Linked DNA regions of Mus musculus. The protein of the gene in region 2 interacts with the protein of the main gene of each other region in a pairwise test. Links are inferred from orthologs where the notes say so. Each region holds a gene or a part of one and is shown on either strand. Other genes may lie near its edges.

Region 1 (7,858 bases), on a different chromosome or scaffold from region 2:
CCACCTGCTTCATGTCACCGTCAACACTTGATATTAAGTTTTAGTGCATGATTCCTACTGGTTATGTAGTGATAGCTCATTGCAGATTGATTTATATCCCCCTACAGTCTTGAAGCAATTTAAAAATCAATTCTTTCCTCTTGGCACCTGCTACCATAGATAGCCCCAACCCATGCTTCAGTTTCTCAAAATGGCCTTTGCTGTAGCTCTCAACTGGTCTTGTCGTCTTAGCCCGCCATTCTTCAAATCTTACAAGTCTTAGTGAGCTTTCTAAAATGCACGTTGAATCACATCACTTAGCTCCTTGCTTACCACCCGTAACGGCTGCCCTTTACCTTACAGCCAGATTTCCAGCCTATCATGCTGCAAAGACAGATAGGTAAGGGCCACAGGAAGAATAGGGTGAAGGAAAACTGGGGCTTTACCTGTAGGGGTATCTTCCACCCAGTTTCTCAGGACCACAGCCCTTTGTGAAGAGAACCCAACAATGGAGTTGTTGCTTTTGTTTTGGAATCCCTTTCAGTTTTAAATGATGAAGAGGTGGCACAAAAGCAACCATTTACCCATTTGTCTAAATAAGGCAGAGCAATAAACAAGGCGGCCTATGTGCCCATCAGCCCATGGTCACCAACGCCACTCTGTCCCCAAAGGCCGCATCACTCCAATCTCCTTACCTACCACTCCTGCCAGTACAGGTGGCTGTGGTTCTGTGGACACAGCACACATGCCCCTCCCCGTTCTGAGTCCCTCCTCCTTCTGAGCACTTGGCCCAAATGTGTTTCAAAGTCTCAGACCCAGCCCTTTGCTTTGTTTTCCAGCCTCGGTAAGAACTTCCTTCTGCCAAAAGTTCTTCCACTGTTCCTCCCAGCCCGGCCACTGTGACCAGGCGTCAGTGTCCATGTATGGAGCCCACGACACAACACACTGTTGGCGGGATCTTTGCACTTAGAGGCTTCGCCCAGGATTCTGTGCACTCATTCAAAGCACGGACTCCCGCCATTCCACCCCACCCTGTCATTTCACCTCAGTATGTTCACCATTATTTTGAAAAAAAAAAGAACAAAGAGCAGCGTCTGTAGAAAAAAACAGAATCTGAATGGGAAACTTACTGGGTAAACATACCCATGATGATTTGTGGTTACTTACTTTGCATTGAGTTGGCTATAACACCAGTCTTGGATGTCTAGGGATTCTAATCTGAGGGGAAGCACTCATTAGTGTTCTTCAGGGAAACTGCAACAATGGTAGCCAGGCTGTGCTGGTTTTTAATAATGCCAACTGCTGGCTCTGTTTTCTTTGGAGCTTCTAAAGCAGTGACGGGAAGAGCCGAGGTGAGGACAGGTGTGGACAGAAGCTCACAAAAAGAACCTTTCTCAAAGCAGCACACTCAGGAACTAGGAGAATTTTGAGCAGGAATAAACCATACTCCCCCTGGTGGCCAGCATGGGGGTGGCCAAAGGAGGACTCTGCTAGTTGGGCTTGGTCAACTCGATTTAGTCCTATCTGGGAAGAGAGACTTTTAACTGAGACAATGCCTCCCTAAGATTGGTCTGTAATAAAGTTTGTGGGGACATTTTCTTCACAAATGATTGATGTGGGAGGGCCTAGCACACTGGAGGCAGTTCCATCCCTGACCTAGTGAGCTGCGTTCCCCCACTTCCTCTGCTTTGGTTCCTGCCTTGAGTTTCCTACTTCCTTTAACGATGGAGTGTGACCTCAGAGTTCTAATCCAAAATAAACCCTCTCCTCCCCGAAGTGCTTTCTGGTCATTGTGCCTTGTCACACCAATATAAAAGCAGAATAGGACAGAGACACTGTGATTGTCTGGATCCCCTTCTCGACCCTACTGCTCCTCTGAGCCTCCACCACCCTAGTTCAGTGCTTGAAACCAGAGTCACAGCTCTCTTCAAATTCTGCGGAGATTCATGGGGCCTCCTAGTCTCTTGATCTTCCTATACGCAGAGTCCTTCTCCCTGGCTCCTCCTTGGCATCTTGTGACTACAGCTCTACCACCATAGACACCACTTGTCAACTACTGTCTCCATTTTTCCAATCCCTTATTGACCAGTCCTCAGCCTAACCTGTTCGTAGCTTCCCTCAGTGTGTTCAACGTCCCTGTCTCACTTGCAGCCTCTCTATCAAAACACAGAGTAGTCAGAATCCCAAATTCTGAGTTTTCCAAACATCTGATTCACCTCAGACCTTCTGGAACCTACTTGAGAGCCAGAGGTCTGCAGAAGCGTCAACAAAAGCAGCAGTGTTAAAGACCCACTGTCTAGAAGCCCTTCAGCACTGGACGGACACCCTCCTCACCCCTCTACACCAAAGCAGAAACTTGTCTCTTATAAGAGGCCTCTTTAGGCTATACCCGTCACTGACTCATCAGGGTCATGGTCACCGTCTCCCCAACCCCCACCTTCTGGACATCTGGCCGCACCCCTGTTATGATCCCATTCAGTGTGGCATCTGCCTTAGTGAAAAACAAACCCCAAGGCCCCGCGGCTTGTCCTGGTTCTTCCTCCGGGGCCGTTGTACTCCAGGTTCCCAGGCTTCAAGTCCTTGATCATGCCCAGAACTCTTGTCTAACCCGGCTGTCTTTAGTCCTTTTCCAAGTCGCCTCTCCATTTGCACCTGCTACAACCGAGGCCTGACAATGGCTCCTACACTGTAGTCGCAAAGTCACGCCTCGCCCCTCCCCGGCTCTGGCTCCCCTTGGCCCACCCTCTCCGGCGCATGCGGGTCTCCTGGCCCTGGAGGGCGGGCTCAGGAGACGGTCCTAGCTTGACCTGGATCCCTAACTCTGTGCACACTGGCGGACGCTCTTCCAGCAAGCAGACGGTCAGACGGCGAGCCGCCTAGGGGGCGCCACTCTGCACTAGGGCATCCAGAGCGCGCCACTGGCCCCGCCCACACCCAGCCTCCAGCCACGCCCGTACTGCCCAGCCTTGCCCACCCCCAGTCTCAATTGGTCCCGCCTGTCTGGATATCCTAGTTCTGATTGGCTGGCCTAAGAATCCGTCAGACTGAGCGCCGCGGCGGCGGCGGCGGCGGTGGCAGCAGCGGAGCAGAAGGGAACCGGACCGGAAGGGTCGCAGCGCCCCGCGCCCCTCACACCCACTGCGACGGCGACGGGGCGGAGCAGAGCGGGGCGGGGCGACCGGGTCCAGGTCGTGGAGCTGGGTGCCGCCAGAACGCATCGCCGCCAGCGTGCCCTCCCTCTGCCTCCGGCGCGGCGGCGCGGAGCCGAGGTGAGCCGGGCGGGCGGCTAGGCCTGGCGGGGCTGCTCGGGCCACGCAGGGCCTGGGGTGCGGGGCTCAGGGGGTGGACTGCTCGGTACTGCCCGGCTATCCACGGTTCCGCGGTCGTTCTCTCCCGCCTGGTGTGTGCAGCCCCAGGGCTGCAGGCCGGCTGTCTGGCCGGGCCCCAGCAGACCTGCCCGCAGGGATCTGTGGGCGCCTTTCCTCCAGCTGTGAGGCACGTCGCTGCACCCCGCTGCATGCCCTGGAGCCTGAGCTCTGGTCCCCGCGACCTTGGCGGTGACTGCGACCCTCACTGGCCCTCTGCTTTCCCCTCGGGAGTAATGGTAGAATGTCTAGGGTTTGGTCGGGGTTGTTAACGGGCAGTGTAACTGTCTCAAAGCGTTAGGGCAGAGAAGCCTAAGGCGCACATTTGAGAGCATCTGAGTGGGTAAATAAATGCTCCCTTGCTGATGTGAGTGTCGTAGGAACTCCCCCTCATCCGCTTAGAGTCCTCCCCCACTTCTGCCCCCCCTCCCGAGCCTTGTCATTCATCTTCAGTGCCCAGCAAAGCCAGAGTGGGCCCTGCCCACCTCCTCCGCCACTCCTTCCCCTCTTAACAGAAGCAGATCTCTGCTCTCCTATCCTAAGCTCACCTGCCTTGGGCATGCCAAAATCATTTATTTACCTCAGGACCTTTGCACTTCGATTTCTCTATGTTCAGAGTTGTCTATAAGATTTTTACCCAGCTGTCTTCTCTCACATCGCTTCCTCCTGTGGTTCAGTGTCTTGTTATAGGCGAGGCCTACCTAGCTTGACCACCCTTTTCCCTCGCTTAGTCATTCTCGCTCATCAGTTTCTTTAATTTTCCATCCAGTACCTACTCTGGATTGATGCTATCTGATTTATTGCCCCGTCCTTTTTGTATAGCATGGTGAGTACAGGTAGTTGTTTCATCTGTAAAGTCAGATCAGTGAATGAACAGTAAGACCATCCCTGCCTATTATTATCTCTGCTTTGTCCATTTTGTTGGTGACTTTAACTTGTGAAACTTGTAAGCAAACAGACGCTGATTCTCACTTTGTGAAATATTTTCATGTTTTTAATCTCTTTCTAGTAGCTGTCAGAACAATTTGTGATAAAAAAAATACGTTTTGGTAAGAGTTTTGCTCTGGCTTCCTTCCACACATTCAGGAGTTATCTACTGGATTCTGTATTATCTAGGTCATGCTTTCTGCTGGGCTCTGGGGACACAAAGGAGATAGCAACAGGGTACCGTCCCCCAGAGAGTCCAGGAGCCCCATAGAGCAGACTGGCATGCACACAGTTCTAGGACAGGATATGACACCAGCTATAGTGAAGGGTCTGTGCCCTAGAAATGGAGGGTGTGGGGTGGGGGTGCTGGAGGGCCTTGAGCAGGGACAGACAGAAAGTGAAAGGGCAAGATCAACAAGGAACTCTGCTCAGTCTGGAGCCAAGAATCAGCCCTCCAGGGCAAGTGTGGGGCTTTATGGGGTGCTGGAGACCCCAGAGCTCCAGAACTTGGTTCAGCAATTTTTGTAAAAGCCAGGATTCCAAGTTTGTATCTGGACTCTGATATGTCAGTGTTGGCAATAGCTAATTAAAACTAGCTATTTGGTGCCAAGCCAAAATGCGGACCTCATGCAGCACTGCTAACCTCCTGAGCAGGCAGTGTGGGAGGGAGAAGCATGGAGGAGCAGGAACTGTAGCCTGAGGCCAGAGGAGCTAGGCCCTGTTCCCCAGATACCAGCCAGGCACTCATTTGAGTGTGGCTGGCACACTGGGTTCCACAGAGGAAGAAACGGAGGCTCAGTGCTTCAGCAGTTTGCTTCAGCGCAGGCAGCCAGTGAGAACTCGAACCCAGATTGCCCTCAATCTAAGGTTCTCAGCTCTATTTGTGTTTGGTTTTCGATTTGTTCTGGAAGAACAATAGCCAATCTATAAATGTTTCTCTCCTCCCTTTCAGAAGAGTCCTGCATAGTTAAAAATAATTGTCGTTTTTGGGGCATAATCTCTGGAGAGCTTTGGTTTTCCTGAGGTTTTAATTTGCAGGGTCTCGGGACTTTATAATTACTTGTTAACGGATACTTTGCTGTGTCCTTTATGAATGGTCAAAGGTATACTTGGATTTGTCAGTTTCAAATGGAAAAATAAGTCTTAACCTTCTGTACAAATCAAAATGCCAAACAAAGTAATTATTAATGAGTTACTAATTTTTAAAAGCTTATAAGATAAAACAAAAATCTGATCTTAAAAGAAAACTATAAACTTGTCAGTAGGCTGCTATATTTGTCTACATACAAAGTTATCTTTCACACCTGGCTAAGAAGGTGGCAATTTTATTAAAAAATAATTATTAATGGTTTATACTTGACCTCTGTGTGAATTGATTTCAATAGCAGTCTGTTAGTTGTTTATGATGGGGACTTTCAAATTTGTTAAAAAAAAATAAACAGCCTAGTATCAGTGTCTACAGGTTTCAACTCTGACAGTCTTGTTCCATCCCTGACCTTAGATCCTTGACATCCCATTGTTCTGTCCATGAACTTTTTAGTCTATGTCCCTAAAAGACAGGGCCTCTCTTAAACTTTTAAAAGCAGTAATTCTTTCATAGCATCAAGTAACCAGTCAAAACTCAAATTCCTAGGTGTCTTGTGTATCTTACAGTTTCTGTAATCACTTGAAAGTAGAGTCAAGTTTTTGTTGTGATTATTGGTCTTTTCAGTTCTCTGTTTGTTTTTATGTTTTATTTTATGGTGTTTGTTTTGTGGGTTGTTTGTTTGTTTTTTTTTCTTTCAGATATGACTTCATACTCATTATGAGTGAATGGCCCAGGCTGGCCTCAAATCCATGGCAATCCTCCTGTTTCAGCTTCCCATGTGCTAGAATTATAGTCAAAAGGCACCACACTCAGCTAGATGTCTTCAGTGTGTTGCTTTTCCTGCTTCTCTTCTGTTTTCCTTGTAGTTCACTTGTAGAAGCAGCTGGTGGTTCTGGAGTGTCTCCATGGTTGGGTTTTACAGATGCCATCTCTGCAGTATGATATAGAGTTTCTGTCTCCTGAGACATACGAGGTGAATCTAGGTGACACCCACTGAGATTGAGGGTGGACTCAAGCCATGGTGCCTTCTCAGCTGAGCCGGACTCACAGCTAGAGGCGTCCTGAAGTTCTGTGCTCATCAATGTCTTACAGATGAGGGTAGCTGCTTGGCACTGGATAAGTAACTGTTCCACAAGGAACCTGGCTTGAGACCTGACCTTAACCTTCCATACTGCCTTCCCACACTTATCCTTTTACTAAGCTTTGCTTTAAACTGACAATGCCTGGGCTGAACAATGGGCCAGGGTTCAGAAATTAGCCAGGTACAGCCTCTACCACTGAGGAGCTTGGAGCAGAGCTTTCTACACAGAATGGAAGGAGAGCTTGGTGCTGTTTAAAGGGATAGGCCGAGTAAGGAACCTTGCATGAAAAGTAGGTCCTTGAAGAGTAGAAGGGACAGGGACATCAGCTAAGGCAGATGGAGCCGCTGAGCAGAAGTCTGCAGGTGTGTCTGGTATCCAAGAGCGGGCCAGAGGGCTTGCTGTCTGCCCTTGTGCTAAGGACGGCTCATCAAGCTCTCAGAGTCACTGATGAAAGCATTCAGACAGGAAAAGGGTGGAATCGCTGTGTATTTTCACCAGATCTCCTTTTAAAATTTCTTATTGTGGAACAGTTACAGATCTTCAAGAAGCTGCGAAATCCCGTCTATTTTTTACCCAGTTTTCTCCATCGATTGTATATTTATATAACTCCAGTACAGAATCATAACAGGAAGTTAGGCATTGCTACAGTATGTGTACAATTCAGTATCGTTTTCTCATGTGCAGATTCCTGAACCACCATTGCCACCACAGGATACGGAAACCTATTACCATCCCCACGGTCTCCCCTACTGCCCCTTTGTAGCTGCCTAACTCACCAGCTTCCACTAAGCATATTCCCTGGCTATGCAGTGGCAAATAGGATTCCATGCTTCTGCCTAACAATCCCTTAGAACAGTTGCTCTTACTACATCTTCTACCTATGGTTAGTTGAATTTAAAGACTTGAGAATCCATGAATATGGAGAGCTACCAAATCAGTGCTGCGGCTTTTTTCAGTGCTGACTAATATTCCACAGTCTAGGTATGTAGCCATGGATATTTGTGCTATTTCTAGTTTTGATCTGTCACAGAACTGTTCTGAGCATCTGTGGCTGGTCCTTATGTGGGCAGATAGCTCTCAGCTAAGGGGCTTGGTACCTGAAAACAGGGCTAGCAGGGAAAAATTTGCCAGGCATTAAGTGTTGAGGGTGAGCACCATGTTTTGCATCGAGTACATACTGTAATAAATGAACAGAACTTCAGAAAGGAGGCCCTGCAAGGCTGCTCCAAGGCTCTTAAATATCAAATGGATACGTTTGCCTAACTACAACGCAGCATCAAGTCAGGAAATTGGATAGTGATGTTGATAGTGATAGTGGTAGAGCGTTTGCCTAGCATGTGAGAGTCCTTCAGCTCAGTCCCCAGCATGGGGCAGTTAAATTGCCATAAGCTAGGGTTTTTTTCCCGTGAGAATTAACA
Region 2 (7,188 bases):
GAGGCAATGAGCATACGCCTTCACGTTGTTAGAGAGTTAGGGGGGTTCTGTGACACTCAGCACAGGGTCGTCATGTTGCTGGTGGCTGTCTTGAGAACAACCACCCAGACTGAAGCTGGAGTCTCAAATGGGATTGGGGTTGGCTGGTGGGCTCACAGGAGCCCTCCAGTGGAAGGAGCTGGGCCAGGGGCAGCGTGGAGACAAAGTGAACATTGGGTACCAGGGTTTCAGATTCATGACAAGGAGTCCTCAGGTGGGAGAAGCTTGTGTTTTCACCCAGAATTCTAATTTGTAAGGTGGGAGGGTGGTTGGGGACCTTGCCTCCCCAATGCCATGGGGTCAGCATGTCCTTCTCCACAGGCCTGTGGTGTGGATTATGAAGTCAAAGCCTTCTGTGCTGAGAACCTGGAGGAGAAGATCCACAAAAGGTAGGCAGGATACTGGTGGGAGAAGGGAGGAAGGACAATGAGGGGAGTCGAAGGAGTCGCAGTGAGGAGAGGCTTTGCTGTGAGAAGGGTCTAGAAGTCTGTCAGGTGATGGCGAGCTTCCTGGAGGAGGTGAGCCAGGCTTCTCTCACATCCCTACCTCTCTCTGCCTTACCCCTGCAGCCTGTTGATATTAGAAAGACCCCCAACTTCAGTTAACTTTCAACAGTGGGTAGTTGGGAGGCCCTCAGCAGGAGTGAAGCCTGTGTTTGTGGACAGATCTGAACAGGGGACAGAAGTGGAGGAAGGTGAACATAGAGGGGACTCAGTGTGGCTCAGAGTGTGCTCAGCATGGCTCAGAGAGCCAACATTTTCCCATAGTGCTTGGCAGACAGGGGGGACAAAGCTTCTGGTCCTGACTTCTCATGGCTGCCCTTCCTGGGGGTCCTGGGATTCAGACCTCCTGCCTCCTGGCCTTCACCTGGCTATGATGCCCTTGCATCCTAAGTCAGCCGCTGAGGGGTGCTCACCAGCTCTTTAGGGATGACTTTGCCACCTGGTGGCGACTAGGAGTATCACAAGCATTTTCATCTGTTGTGTGGTTGTTCTTGTATGGGGGAGACAAGAAAGACTCTTCTCTCTTGTGTCTGTCCCCTTAAGATCTGTGACAAAGGAGACCTAATGGCGTTATGGGATATGAGAGGGATTTTGAGCAGAATAATGAACAGCAGGAAACACTGAGAGTCACCACCCTCACCCTCTCCCAATGGGGCATCTTAAGTCTACTCCCAAGATTCACTAGTCATAATGATACAATAGCTGTCAGTTCTCAAAGGCTTAGTTAGTTCCGGTCATGTTCACAGTAATGGACAGATGTGGTTTAACCTTCCCCGGGGTCCTGAGGGCTAAGTGCTGTTGTCATTGTTTCACAAATGAGAAAACTGATGCACAGGGAGGTAATTTCCCCAGGTCATACTCACCAGCTCAGTCCGTCTTTGCTTCTACCCTAAGCCTTGTGACCTCCACTGAACCCCTCTCACTTGTGAGTCTCACTGAGTCACCTCTTCACTCTCCTGCACCTCTTGGCTGAATCAACATCCCATAATGACCCCCCCACCTCCACCTCCCACAAGGGCCTGTCAGTTCTGCATGCTTCCACATAGCAGATAAGGCTGCCAGGCAGCAGGTACTGGCCCGTGTGCTGAGACCGTGGTAGTGAACCAGCTGGGCAAGAAGTTCCCATCCTCCAGCGGCTTACACTATTAGGAGACACGGGGAACACAAAGTAAAAAATAGGCCCTTTCTTACCATCATGCTGGGGACTGGGACACGCAGACCCAAATGAAGTGCTGTTGTCGGGTGGCTCAGGGACAGAATTGAGGAGGCTGGGGCTGAGTCACATGGTGACAAACCCTCCTGCTCAACCTCTGTGATCAGTGGGCAATGGGGAGCTACAGTAGACTCTTGAACAGGAGAGGGGTCTAGGTATTACAGAGAAGAGAGTGGAGGCTGGTGACTCTGTCTTTCTCCCCATGCATCTTCCTTAGGAACTCTGTGCGGCTAGTCATCCGGAAGGTTCAGTATGCCCCTGAGAGACCTGGCCCTCAGCCCACGGCTGAGACTACCAGACAGTTCCTTATGTCAGACAAGCCCCTACACCTTGAGGCATCACTGGATAAGGAGGTAAGAGGCCCAGACACCACTGTCCTCAGCTCTACTATCCCTCAGGTCCCAGTGTCTCTGGACTGTCCTTGAGGGTTTGGGGAATCCTGTTGGGGTCCAAAGGACTGGCAGAGGTGGGCATGTGCACCTATGGAACAGGAGCAATGGAAGGGTCCTGGCCATTCCTCCTTACACTCTTATAATTGCCTGTTTCAAACTGGAGGGAGAACCCCAGCTAATCAGCAGGGTGGTGATGGGGAACAGGACTCAGGGTCTCCTTGCTATTACCCTTATCAGTGAGCTAGAAGGTGAAAAGTTCTTGAAGTCAGGTGACTCTGAGCCAGCTGACTGGGGTATGGGTATGTCCCTCCTTCTTGGGGTAGCTAAAGACAAGAGCCTGGACAAGGTGGTCCCTGAGAATTCCGAGCAGGTCCTCCAGTAGCTGGTTAGCCTTTCCTCTCTTTCTCTGAGTCTTCTAGAGTTTAATGTGTCTGTGAACCCAGACCATCAGAGCCCACAGGAACTTGAGACCTTACTCTGTTCAAGCCTGCACATAGGATAAAGGAGAAACAGCATCTCACTTAACCTGTCCAAGGTTATGCAATGGTTGTCACCATCATTGCTATTATTGCTGTCTTAGCTGGTGGTCAGAATGAGACTGGAGCCGAAGATGTCAGCTTCATTTTCCTATGTGTGTATGTGTGAGTGTGCATGGGTGGGTGGGTGTGTGTGTACATCTGGAGGACAGCCTTGGAGGTATTATTCTCAGGAGTGCCATCCCCCTCCTTTGAGGCAGTCTCTCATTGGCCTGGAGCTTACTAACTCGGCTAGACTCTGTGGGCACCGAGCCTCAGGGATCCTCTTGTCTCTGCCTCCCTAGTGCTGGGATTACAAGATCAAACTCAGGTCCTCGTGTTTGCAACACAAGTACTTGACTGGCAGAGCAGTCCCCCGAGTTCAGGAATGTCATCTTCTAATACAGATATCTTTGAAAGGTCCCACAGTGGTACTGAAGGTCCATATGCTTGGTAGTTTTGTGACACTTTTATCTCAGTGGGAAGTGGCTGGTGAGCTGGGGGCAGAGTTCAGTGTCCCTGTCCATGCTCTCCTGTCATCTGCCTCACAGATCTATTACCACGGAGAACCCATCAGCGTTAATGTCCACGTCACCAACAACACCAACAAGACTGTGAAGAAGATCAAGATCTCGGGTAGCTGGGGATCCTACCGAGGGTTGGGATAGCTGCAGGTGTGGCCTTTGTTAAAAGCCTGAGATGATACCATTAGTAGCTTTGGAAGCTTGGGTCTGCTGTCAGCCTACAGTGGCTTCAAAGCTGTAGGCACTTGGGGCAGTGGGTTTACCGCTTTGCATGCCCCTTCATAGGCTTTCTGGGCCCTGGACAAGCTGTTCTGGGAGGAAAGATTTGGTCATGGAAGGGACTGGGTTTTGATGGGGTTTTCTGTGTGGGTGGAGTCTGGGGTGGTGGCCTCTGATAAATGCTGGTCGTTGTCTCAATCTAAGCAAGCACACCTACTACAGGGAACTTGAGGGCTATCTTGAGAGGTACCCCCTGACTCATGTACCCACCTCCCCTGCTCCCTCTTTCCCCAGTGCGCCAGTATGCAGACATCTGTCTCTTCAACACAGCTCAGTACAAGTGCCCAGTGGCCATGGAGGAGGCTGAGTAAGTGTGTCTGAAGCCGACTTTGGACAGGTGGGACTAGACAGGACAAAGGGGAGCTCTGAGTCCAGGCCCAGGCATCTCTTCTCAACCTGCAGAGAGATGTCCTGGGGTAGGACTCATGTGGCATGTGCCTTTATGTGCTGAGTAGCCTCACTGGCTTCTGTTTCGGTCTTTGAGTCCAGGTCTCACTTTGAGACCAGGCTGGCCTGAAACTCAGAGCCTGAGCTTACTTGGAATCAGGGCAATCCTTCTACTTTAGCCTTCCAAGCGCTGACGTTATAGGTGTGAGCAACTGCACCTGCCACTTTGACATGGTTTCTAATATTCTAGAGATGGAGCTGTTATTACTAAACCAAATATTCTTGCATTATTGGATATTCTCAAATTCACTGTTGATTAAGAATAAAACCTACAGCCATGAGACATAGACTTCTGGTGAGTGTTGGGGGGTACGTTGAATGACCCAGAGCCAGGAGAGCATTTAACCCCAAGTGGAACATAGTCATAGCCATAGTCTGTCACATATTTGCATCTGCAGTCTGGAGAAAGGGTAGCTGCCTGGGCTTCCAGTAAGCATTCCTGTGGGGTTGGGCTTGGGGTTGAGATGTGGCCGGCTCTGCTCCCTTCAAGAGGCAAATTTAGGTCTTATTCCAGGACTGTCCCAGTGTCAGGTGCACGCATCTGCCTCATCTTTGAGAAGGGAGATGGGGGATAAAATAGCACCAGCCAAAGGGAACAACAGAGGTTCCTGTGCATGACTGATAGATACACATTGCAGCAAGTAAAGTTTCAATGGTAGAACCTAGGTGGGGGCTTCCAGGCATTTACTCATGGTTTGTATGCCCACTTTTGAACATAAACGTGGGCTGGAGAGATGGCTGAGCAGTTAGGAGCACGTGCTGTTCTTCCTCCAAAGGACCAGGGTTCATTTTCCAGTACCCACACCAGGCTGCTCACAGCAGCTTGTAAGTCTAGTTCTAGGGGATATGATGCGCTCTTCTGGCCAATGAGGGCACTTGCATGTGAGTGGTGCACAGACAGTCATGGAGGCACACACACACACACACACACACACACACAAATTAAAAACTTAATCATTAAATAAAAACTAAAAATAAATGTGTGGGCTAGAGAGATGGCTCAGTGGTTAAGAACACCGACTGCTCTTCCAGAGGTCCTGATTTCAGTTCCCAGCAACCACATGGTGACTCATGACCATGGAATGGGATCCAATGCCCTTTTCTTGTATGTCTGAAGATAGGGACAGTGTACTCATATACATAAAATAAATAATCTTTTTTAAAAGTGTGCTATTTAAGTGTGCATGGTGACCATGCCTAGTTTAGGATTAGTCCTGCTTGTGTGTGGTGGGCCTCTCCTCTTTCCCATGGCAGTGGGCTTGCTGCTTGAGCTGGGCTCAGCCCAAGTGGTTGCCTGCATCTGGGAGATAAGGGTTGCTGGCAGAGGGCGTTGTGGAACAGGGCCAGTCCAGGCGTCTTGGCTGGGTTAGGGCTGGCTGTGATAAGAGTCATCTTCATGCTGCCTCTCTACTTCCCAGTGACAATGTGGCACCCAGCTCAACATTCTGCAAGGTCTATACGCTGACTCCCTTCCTGGCCAACAACCGAGAGAAGCGGGGACTCGCCCTCGACGGGAAGCTCAAGCATGAGGACACGAATCTGGCTTCCAGCACGCTGTGAGTGAGAGCCCGCCCCTAAGACCCAGATGCTATGAGTGAGAGCCCGCCCCTAAGACCCAGATGCTGTGAGTCCCAGGCCCCCCGGTGCCCTCTCCACGACGGGGCCCCACCCTCTTGGCCCACCACCATGAGGATGAGGTTTAGGCTCTTGCCCAAGTCTTGACTAGGGCCAGTCCCCTGGAGTGTGGCTACCCAGGGAGGATCTCTTTCTACTCCTACCCACCCAGCCAAAGACTACCGGGTCCCATCATTTGCCTCTGGGGGACACAACCAGAAAAGCTTTCTTTAAGAATTGGCAGCTCTTAGCCCAAAGTCCTGAATACAGACTGGGGTGTGTCCCTGATGCTGTCAGGGTTGGAGGGGAGAGAATCGCTTCTAGAAGAGTACTGGAAGGAGATAAATGGGGGCTTGGAGAGGCTGGGGAAAAGAGGGGAACTGGGTATAGATATGGGGGTCCTTCCACATGAGGCACCATTAGGCCATTTGGTCCATGGGCATCACTGAGCCTTCAGGGTTGTCCCACCCTAGAAGAGTTCAGACAGTTGTGGGGGGACTTTCATTCCCTCTGATGATATCTGGCTCTCTGCAAGGGATTTGGTCTTTGTCTGTTGATTCCGAGACCACGCTCCCCACTCTCAGACTTGGCTCAGGCTAGACAATCACATTATCACCCCTCATAGGCCTCCCATTTACCAACAAGCTCTTTGTCCTCCTTTTACTCTGACTTGTACCTGATCTGCCCTCAACACCCCACCACCAGGTATCTACTTAGCATATCCTTCCCATGTTACCCTGACTCCCAGCTACCCTTGGCTTCTCAGCTCTCAGTGTGGCTCTTTCTGCTTGTGGGTTACCGAGCATAAGCAGTGTGAGAGAAGTAAGTGGTGGGAGGGCGGTTAGGGCCTGTTCTCACGGCACTGTGTGGCACTGGTGAGGCAGGGAGGAGAGTCCACTAGGGCTACAGAACAAGGACATCTTATCGCTAGATGTGGAACCCAAGGAACTAGGGTCATAGCTCAGTGGTAGAGCGCTTGCCCATCAGGCATGAGACTGTGGATTTAATCTCCAGTACCACAAAGAGGGACATAAACAGAATCCAGGCCTACAAGTGCCAGTGCACTGGGCTCAGCTCCCTTTCCTAACTGTTGGACCTGGAGGCTCAGGAGATGGATGGACAGTGGTGCCTCCCAACATATGCCAATGCCTACCACATTCCGCCCACCAAGGAGCCCCAAGGTCCAGCTTCCCCGTCTTCCTGCAGGTTGCGGGAAGGTGCCAACCGTGAAATCCTGGGCATCATCGTTTCCTACAAAGTCAAGGTGAAACTGGTGGTGTCCCGGGGCGGGTAAGTCCAGCTGTCCCAGAACCCCTGCTCGTCCCACCTGCTTGCTTGGCCTTTAGCTGCATCTTCTCATTGAGGAGGCGAGACTTAAGGACTTGCTTTTCTCTCCCCTCCTCTGATTTCTTCTCCACTGGCTGGAGCGCCTCCTCTCCTCCATCTCTATCCCTCTCTCCTGCTCCTTAGCCTAGGCCCGAGTCTGGCTCTGGGGACTGGGTACAGCCTATATGAATCTGGGTGTCCTCAGACTGTGCCGTGACTCTCGGGCTACAAGGACTTCCTCACATCTCAGGACACAGTGTGCACACACGGCTCTCGGAGATCGAAAAACCCAGAGCTGAATTGGGGGGGGGGTTCCTAATTGGCTAACTTTCCCAT
Region 3 (7,942 bases), on a different chromosome or scaffold from region 2:
CTTCACCTCTCATGGTTGGCAGCCCTAACACTTCCTGTCTCTGTCTCTCTGAAGATTTGACAAGCTGGTGTTTGTAGGGGCGAGTGAGGACCGGGCCTCCCAGCTGCGTGTGCTGAGCGCCATCACACGGAAGTATGCGTAGTCGGAGAGCTGGGGTGGGGGCTTAGACAGTTAGGGGATGTGTGCGAGTCAGCATGACTTCTGAGGGAGGAGGTGAGGCCAGCTTTAACATCCCTGGTGTGGGTGTGATAGGTTCAAGCTGGAGGCCTCTGTGAGCCTGGCAAACGTGCTGGATTGCTGCCCACCCCAGCTGACTGGTGCAGATCTCTATTCTCTCTGCTCTGACGCCATGATGACTGCCCTCAAACGCAGGGTTCGAGACCTAGAGGAAGGTGAGCCCACCTGCCAGCCCTGGATGGGAACCATAAAGCTAGGGAGACAGTCCTGGCCCTGAATTCCAGAGGAATGGCTGAGCAGGGGGTGTCGTCGTCGTCGTCCCGTCCCGTCCCCCCCCCCCCCCCCCGGGAGTGGCTCTCCTACCTAGGCATAGACTGCAGCCTCTGTACTTCAGCTAGGGCTGGGGCTCTGGCCTTAGTCTTCCTTTCCACCCCTTAGGGCTAGAGCTGCGGAGCTCAGCACTGCTGCTCACCATGGAGGACCTGTTGCAGGCTGCAGCCCGGCTGCAGCCCTCAGTCAGTGAGCAGGAGCTGTTGCGATACAAGCGCATCCAACGCAAGTTTGCCGCCTGCTAGGAGCTGCCTGCCTGCCCTCTGCCTATGCCCCCTGACTGAAGGTACCTCCCGCCTGTCGCCTGAAGGCTGCCTCCTCCCAGAGATCCCTTGTGAGCCCTAGTGGGGGCCCCTAGTGCTCAGGAGGAGAGGCAGGGCTGGCAGCTAGGGGCTTGGCAGCCTGTGACCTGTGCGGAGACACTAGTTCTGGAGTAGAAAATAAAGTGTATACTGCCTCCTACTGGTCTTGTGAGAGGTTGCGGTGCAAAAGGCAAGGTTATGGGAGGCTGAGGTCTTGAGGGGGGATTGGGGGGGGGAACACCATAAAAACACGTTACTTCTGAAGAAACACCAGGCACAGGCTTGGAGAATGCAGACTGTATTGTTTACTCCGTTTGCCCGACCCCCACATCTGCACCCAAATGCAATATCTGCATTAGGGGATGGTCTTAGGGTAGGGGCCATTGCCTGAGCATGGGCTTCTGGGAGCCGGAGAAACTCAGTCTGTCTTCTTGAGCACATGGATGAAGTAGCAGGGAACGTAGGCCTGGCCAGGCTTGTAGGGCTTGAAGTCACCCAGGACGCTGTGCTGGCACCTGCCCCCAAAGGCTGCTCGCACCAACTCCGTGAAAGACGCCAAACAGTGTGGGTAGTAAGAGAGCCGGAACTTACTGCAACAGGGCCCCCAGCCAGATATGAGGGCTGCTGGCCTCAGGTCTCCCCACCACCACCACCTCTCTCCTGCCAAACCACGTCATACCTGAAGCCAGGAGAGCCATCTCTGCCAGTGCCTGGCACCTGCACTGTGTAGTCCAGGGTTACCATGTGGGCTTTGTTGTTGACTGTCAGTACTGACGTCGTAATGTCCTTGGTCAGGTCACTCTGAGGGCATGGGTTGCGTCATTCCCTGAGCCACCACGGGGCTTCTGGCCCTCCAGCTCCCGCTTCCCATTGGGGGGCAGCCCAACCTTATAGTAGATGTTCTTCCCCGGGGGCGCACAGCCTGTGCTGAGGATATAGTCGTAGTTGCGGTGGTCGATCACCAGCAGGCCCCCGGGCCGCACCATGCTTGCAATGTTCTTTAGTGCCAGCCGGTGCTCGCTCTGGTCACCTGGGTTCCCGGCAGGGCCACAGACACCATCTGCTTAGGCCTCCAGCACCACCTCCCGCCCCTGTCTCCCTCCCAAGTGCCAGCACTAAAGAAGACAGGCAAAATGCAGGTCTGCCTTATCAGGGCAGCAGGCCAGCCATCTTCGGACGTGGGGGAGCTCAAGGCAAGAGCCACAGCCAAGGCCACCAGCTTACCTTTGCAGTCTGGCAAGTGAGCAAAACTGTTCCCAAGGCAGATGACAGCATCAAAGCCATCTCCTGAAAGCACATCTTTGTCCAGCGTCAACCAGTTGGCTTCTTCAATGACTGGAGGCCAGGGCAGGGGTTGGGGGGGGAGTCGAGAATTATAGCACAGCACAGAAGCAACCACCTCCTCCCAGAGACACATGGGGACTCATTAGGGATGGAGAGAGCCACAGTTGGCAAAGCCAGCCCTCCACTTAGGGGCTTTTGTAGGGAGGAGAGACAGGATGTGATAAGACAGTTAAAAGTAGCTCTGTAGGGCCCAGTGACTTGACGTACACCTCTAGACTCTGTTAGACAGGAGCATCACTTAAATCTAGCTTAGCCAAGCCAGGCAACACGGGAAAAGCATAAAAACCGCTGGTAATGCAGCCCAGTGATCAAGGGTCTACTTGGCATGCCCAAGTTCAATGCCTAGCACCATAAATACAACAAACTTGCTCTTACCAGCCGGAATCCTACTCTGATGCCAAAGCCTTCCTTTTTAGGAAGTTGACAGGGACTGTACCGTGCCCTGAGGAAAAACCATTCAGCTCCACAGCAAGAGAGAGCCAGGGCAGAGAGTGACCCTGGAGGTGCATGTCTGGGGGGGCCTGGACAGACAGACTTACCCCAATTGTCAAAGGATGGCTCTTTCCTCCGGTTCCAGCGCTCCTTAAGCGCATATTTCAGCATCTTGTCGCTGGCGTCCACGCTCATCACGCTGAAGCCCTCTTCCACCAGCATGATGGAGTCCACTCTGGATGAGGTCAGAAACGGGGGACTAGAGGACCAGTCAGAGGAGCCTGGGAGGCCAAATGTGTGTGACATTTCCCCAGACATAACATTCCAGAGTCCGTTCCTCTGCTTCCTGTCCCAGGCCATCTCTACTGGTCTCAAGTGACCCATTAAGAATTTTCCTGGGGGCTGGTGAGATGGCTCAGTGGGTAAGAGCACCCGACTGCTCTTCTGAAGGTCCAGAGTTCAAATCCCAGCAACCACATGGTGGCTCACAACCATCCGTAACAAGATCTGACTCCCTCTTCTGGTGTCTGAAGACAGCTACAGTGTACTTACATATAATAATAAATAAATCTTAAAAAAAAAAAAAAAAGAATTTTCCTTATCAAGTAGCAAAAAAATTTTTTGAGAGTTTTTTTTTTTTTGTTTTTTGTTTTTTTTTTAGCCTGGTTTAAACAGTGAGTTCCAAGACAGCTGGGGCTACAAAGAGAGACTCTGTTTCAAAAAAATTTTTTTTCAAAATTTAATTTCATGTGTCGTGCCTGAATATGTGCATCATGTGCATACCTTGTGTCTGCAGACCCCAGAGAGGGTGCTGGGCACCAAATTTGGGTCCTCTGTAAGAACATGTGCCATCTCCCCAGCTGCCTCTTATTAGAAACAGGGTCTCCTAATGTAGCCCTGCAGGGCCTGGAACTCACAGAGAGCCACCTATTTAGGACTCCCTGAGTGCTGGGATTAAATATATGTGCCACTACTCCTGACATCAACACATTTTTTTTTATTTTTAATTATGTCTGTATGTGTAGTACATGTGAGTACAGTGCCCTCCACGGCCAGAAGGGAGCGCTAACCTCCCCCTGGAACGGAATTCCAGGCGATTATGAGCCACCTGATGCAGATGCTAGGCACTGAGAGCCTGTCTTCTGCCAGAGCCTAAGGGGCTCTTAGTAGTCGGACCATCTCACCGGCTCAATGGCTTTTTGTTGTTGTTTTTGTTTTTAAATCATAGTCAGGCATTCTACAAAAGTGCACTTGAGAACCTGGCATACTGGTGCTCCTGGAAATATCTCAGTCAGAGGTGTCCGTGAGTTCTGGGCTGAGTCGGGAGTGTGGGCCAGACACTATCCTGGTCTGTATCCTCTCCACCAAATGGGGGCCTTTTACCTCTTGGAAATGACTTTTTCTTTAGTACTACTGGTTGGAGAAAAGCGCTGCTCACCTCGTGGGGTTTTGTTACAGCTTGCAACACACGTACCCAAACTCCTGGCACAGCACTTGGCTGTGCAAACGTGCTACAAATGTTCTGTTCACACTGCCAGAGGCCAATCGCAGGAGGAACAGCGCCGGAGCCAAGGATCCACCTTGACCCAAAGCTCGGATTTTGCTCTGTCCCATGAATCCTTCTCTGCGCACACCCTGGCCCCTTCCCGCACTGTTTCGGCAGATGCTCTCCCATGCCCATACTACCCTGATGAGCAAGGGCTCTTGACCCCCTAGTACTGCCTGCCAGGCTCCAGCCCGCAGAGGCTGCCCAGACTGGCCTAAGCAGGCCGGCCCGTTTGGACTCACCCTGTGCCACAGGCTACGTCCAGCACCCTGTGGCACCCGTGCTGGCGCAACAGCCCAAGCAACCACGCCTTGTACTCTGCGGTACGGCTGCGGGTGTCCCCGATGTACAGCTGCCACACACGTGCGGCCTCCCCATCTGCATACTGGTCCGGGAGCCCTTCGGCCGCCACCCCCAGGGAGCGGGTACGGTACACGCTGTCCACCATCCTGACCGGCGCCTGGCTCTCAGGCCACGCGATCCGCACTTATAATCCTCTGGCAAGGCAGTCCCACCTGGCCAATGGCAGGTGAGAGCAGGGACACGCCCCTGCTGGGCCCTGGGCCCAGAGCCAGGCTTGCTGCCTCTGCCTTGAGGATGGCTCAGCACAGCAATCCTGGACCTGGCTTAGTAAGACAGGTCAGATAGGACTCGCCAGGGTGGCCGGGAGGAACTCACAAAGTAAAGCAATGAGAGATCACTCCACCCCTACCCAAGGAGGAAGGGGAAGAAGCCTGAAATCCACCCAAAACAGAATTATTACATGCCCAGCCCAGCACAGTGTCTACACAACACTGCTTATCATTTAGTGGAGGGAACACTCCGCTAAAGAGAGCCACTGTGTCGGGACATTATGAACAGTCTTTGAGAAAGATGCCCATCCAAGTACAAGAGTACACCTGGAGATAGGCGTGTCTCTCTTCCCCTCCCCCATACCAGCCAGGAGCCTCCTAAGGTAGCCTGGGCCTTCCAATCCATGGGCTTTATACTCTGCAATCTCTTAAAGGCTGGGTGTAGTAAGGTGAGACAGGAGGATTATTAGTGCTCAATGAATTAGTGAACAATGTGGGAGACATAGCAAGCCTTCCATCTGCTTTCCATGGGAGCACCTTCAGAGAGGAAAGTTGGGGGTCGGCAGGGAAGGTGCTCATGGCGCCCGCTCGGGCTAGCGTCACTGTATAACCTGAGGGTCCGTTTCGTGTTACCCGCTCACCCTTTTTACCCCACCAAGGACAAGATCCCAGCCGGGCTAAAGTCGGCTCTGGAAGATGCGTGTGAGCGACGAGAAGCCTGCCCCGCCTGCCCTGCCTGCCCACACACTTCCAACTCTGTGAACACTCGTTACGTGGAAAGAAGAGAGAAGACAGGGAGCATCCCGCCCGCCCGCCCGCCCGCCCTCCCTTCGCCTTCCCAATGCAGGGTGAACCCTGGAGATGGAAGGAGGCCCACAGTTGTGTGACTTAACCTTCTTATAGTAGGTATGGCTGTTTTGACTTCATAGATGTCAGTATGTGTCTGACGCCCGTGGAGCCCAGAATCGAGAGCTTCAGATACCCTGAACCTGCAGTTGTAGACAGTGGGGAGCCACTCGGTGGTGCTGAGGACACTGAACCCCACAGAGGACCAAGTGGTTTGTTTGGTTTGGTTTGGTTTTTGTGAGAAAGGGTTTCTCTGGCTGTCCTAGAATTCACTCTGTAAACCAGGCTGGCCTCGAACTCAGAGATCCGACTGCCTCTGCCTCCCAAGGGCTAGGGCTAAAAGCGTGCGCTACGACCCTAGCTGCAGATAGGGCTTTTAATGGCTGACCTATCTCTCCAGCCCATATTTTTTAACTTTTGTTAGCACAGCGCCAATCTCAAATGGTTCTGACCAGGCTCAGTCTTGGGGACTCAATGTCCCTACACACAGGCCTCTGACACTATGCTCAGAAAGATTCTCGAGGCTGAGTGTGATGGTGTGTGCCTGTAAGTCCTATACTTGGCAGCTGAGAACAGAAAAGCTGGAGTTCAAAGATATTCTAGGGTACATAGACTTCAAGGCAAATCTGGGCTACATCAGTCCCTGTGGAGACAAAGCAGAGAGGAGAAACTGTATTTGGGAATTTCAAGTAAATCCAATGCCACGTATCAAAGCATTTTGGGGGTAAACCTATCAATCCTAGACTTTTTTCAAATCTCATCTCAGCATCTTAAGTGGTATCTTTTATTTACTTAGGGTTTTTAAAACTGGGGAACCAGGCATGGTGGTGCATTTTGTTTGTTTGTTTGTTTTTTGAGACAAGGTTTCTCTGTATAGTCTTGGCTGGCCTTGAACTCACAGAGATCCAACTGTCTCTGCCTCCTGAGTTGCCGGGATTACAGACAAAGCGCCACCATCTAGCTAAATGTATGTCTTTAATGTCAGCACTCAGGAGGCAGAGGCAGTTGGATCTCTGTGAGTTCCTGGACAGCCAGGGCAATGTAGAAACCTTGACTCAAAAAGCAACAACAACAGGACACCCAAGACTATACAGGGAAACCCTGTCTCAAAAAACAAACAAACAAACAAACAAAGCCCCAAGGGAATGGTGAGATGGCTCAGTGGTTAAGAGCGCTGACTGCTCTTCCTAAGGTCCTGAGTTCAAATCCCAGCAACCACATGGTGGCTCACAACATAATGAAATCTGATGCCCTCTTCTGGAGTGTCTGAAGATAGCTACAGTGTATTTACATATAATAAATAAATAAATAAATAACCCCCCCAAGCAATAACAACAACAAAAAATGTATGTTCAGAAAAAAGCACACAGCACGCAAGACTCCCTTCTCTCCTCCCATATTGGTTCCAGAAACCACACTCAGGTCATAGGCTTGGCAGCAAGCTCCTTTGCCGTTTGAGCCATCTTGCTGACCCGTGATTCTCAACCTTTCTAATGCTGTGATACTTCATGATACGGTTCTTCCTGTCGCAGTGACCCCCAACCATAAAACTATCCCCTTGCTACTTCAAACCTGTAACTTTGCTCCTGTTATGAATCATAATGTAAATATCTGATATGCAGGATTTTGACACGTGACCTCAAAGGGTTGAGAGGCACTGTCTAGACAGTCTTATTATGTAGCTCTGGCCGTCCTGGTACTACTATAAGGTTTAGTTTTGAAAGCAAGCCTCCTGCCTCAGCTTCCAGGAGGCTGGGGTCATAGGTGTGAGCCACTATGCCCAGCTTAGATACCCGTGACAGACTCCTGGCATACACTACGGAGTCTCAATTACGGAGGAAGCCGAGGCAGGAAATCATGGGAGCTCCGGAGTTCCCAGGCCAGCCAGTGCAACAGAGTGAGAACCACCCCAAAATCAGGAAAGGAAAGAGGGAAAGGGAAAGGAAGGGGAAAAGGGAAAATGGAAAATGGAAAAGGGAAAAGGGAAAATGGAAAAGGGAAAAGGGAAAAGGGAAAAGGGAAAAGGGAAAAGGGAAAAAAGGGAAAGGGAAAGGGAAGGGAAGGGAAGGGAATTAGCCTGGACATGGTGGGCATGTTGACAGGCCAGGATAGGAGGAGTTCCACAGACTCTGAAAGCACTGCTGGCGTCACGGAGGAAAGTTCCAGGCTAGCCTAGATTACTGAGTGAGACACTGCCTCAAAACAAGACTCATCTTCTCCAAAGGAAGCAGCAACCCCGACTTTCTTCCCAGGAAAGCAAAAGCTTCGCCCCCCAGTAAAACGCCTTTGTGAGGGTTGGAAGGTTATTTAGTGATGTTGGGGGTGAGGACGTCGCTGGACCCAGTGTCTCAGGCTTAACCTGAGTGCTGAGCCCTGTACCACTGAGCTATACC

The links.
Region 1: the proteins of Arrb1 (region 2) and Mapk9 interact in binary tests that used the Homo sapiens proteins (3 or more experiments, as listed by UniProt). The link is inferred for Mus musculus from reciprocal best matches to the Homo sapiens genes ARRB1 and MAPK9.
Region 3: the proteins of Arrb1 (region 2) and Gnmt interact in binary tests that used the Homo sapiens proteins (3 or more experiments, as listed by UniProt). The link is inferred for Mus musculus from reciprocal best matches to the Homo sapiens genes ARRB1 and GNMT.

Annotation. Positions count from the first base shown.
Region 1 is NC_000077.6:49,843,728-49,851,585, forward strand, and holds the start of Mapk9 (mitogen-activated protein kinase 9), read left to right. Parts: upstream 1-3,023; 5' UTR 3,024-3,248; intron 3,249-7,858. UniProt on the Homo sapiens protein: Serine/threonine-protein kinase involved in various processes such as cell proliferation, differentiation, migration, transformation and programmed cell death.
Region 2 is NC_000073.6:99,589,291-99,596,478, forward strand, and holds part of Arrb1 (beta-arrestin-1), read left to right. Parts: intron 1-360; coding exon 361-428; intron 429-1,972; coding exon 1,973-2,108; intron 2,109-3,213; coding exon 3,214-3,298; intron 3,299-3,699; coding exon 3,700-3,772; intron 3,773-5,330; coding exon 5,331-5,468; intron 5,469-6,732; coding exon 6,733-6,816; intron 6,817-7,188. UniProt on the Homo sapiens protein: Functions in regulating agonist-mediated G-protein coupled receptor (GPCR) signaling by mediating both receptor desensitization and resensitization processes.
Region 3 is NC_000083.6:46,724,573-46,732,514, forward strand, and holds Gnmt (glycine N-methyltransferase), read right to left. Parts: upstream 4,594-7,942; 5' UTR 4,580-4,593; coding exon 4,374-4,579; intron 2,821-4,373; coding exon 2,693-2,820; intron 2,145-2,692; coding exon 2,034-2,144; intron 1,840-2,033; coding exon 1,697-1,839; intron 1,611-1,696; coding exon 1,489-1,610; intron 1,400-1,488; coding exon 1,228-1,399; 3' UTR 1,092-1,227; downstream 1-1,091. Other genes in the region: Pex6 (peroxisome assembly factor 2), read left to right, coding at 55-132, 253-392, 616-752. UniProt on the Homo sapiens protein: Catalyzes the methylation of glycine by using S-adenosylmethionine (AdoMet) to form N-methylglycine (sarcosine) with the concomitant production of S-adenosylhomocysteine (AdoHcy), a reaction regulated by the binding of 5-methyltetrahydrofolate.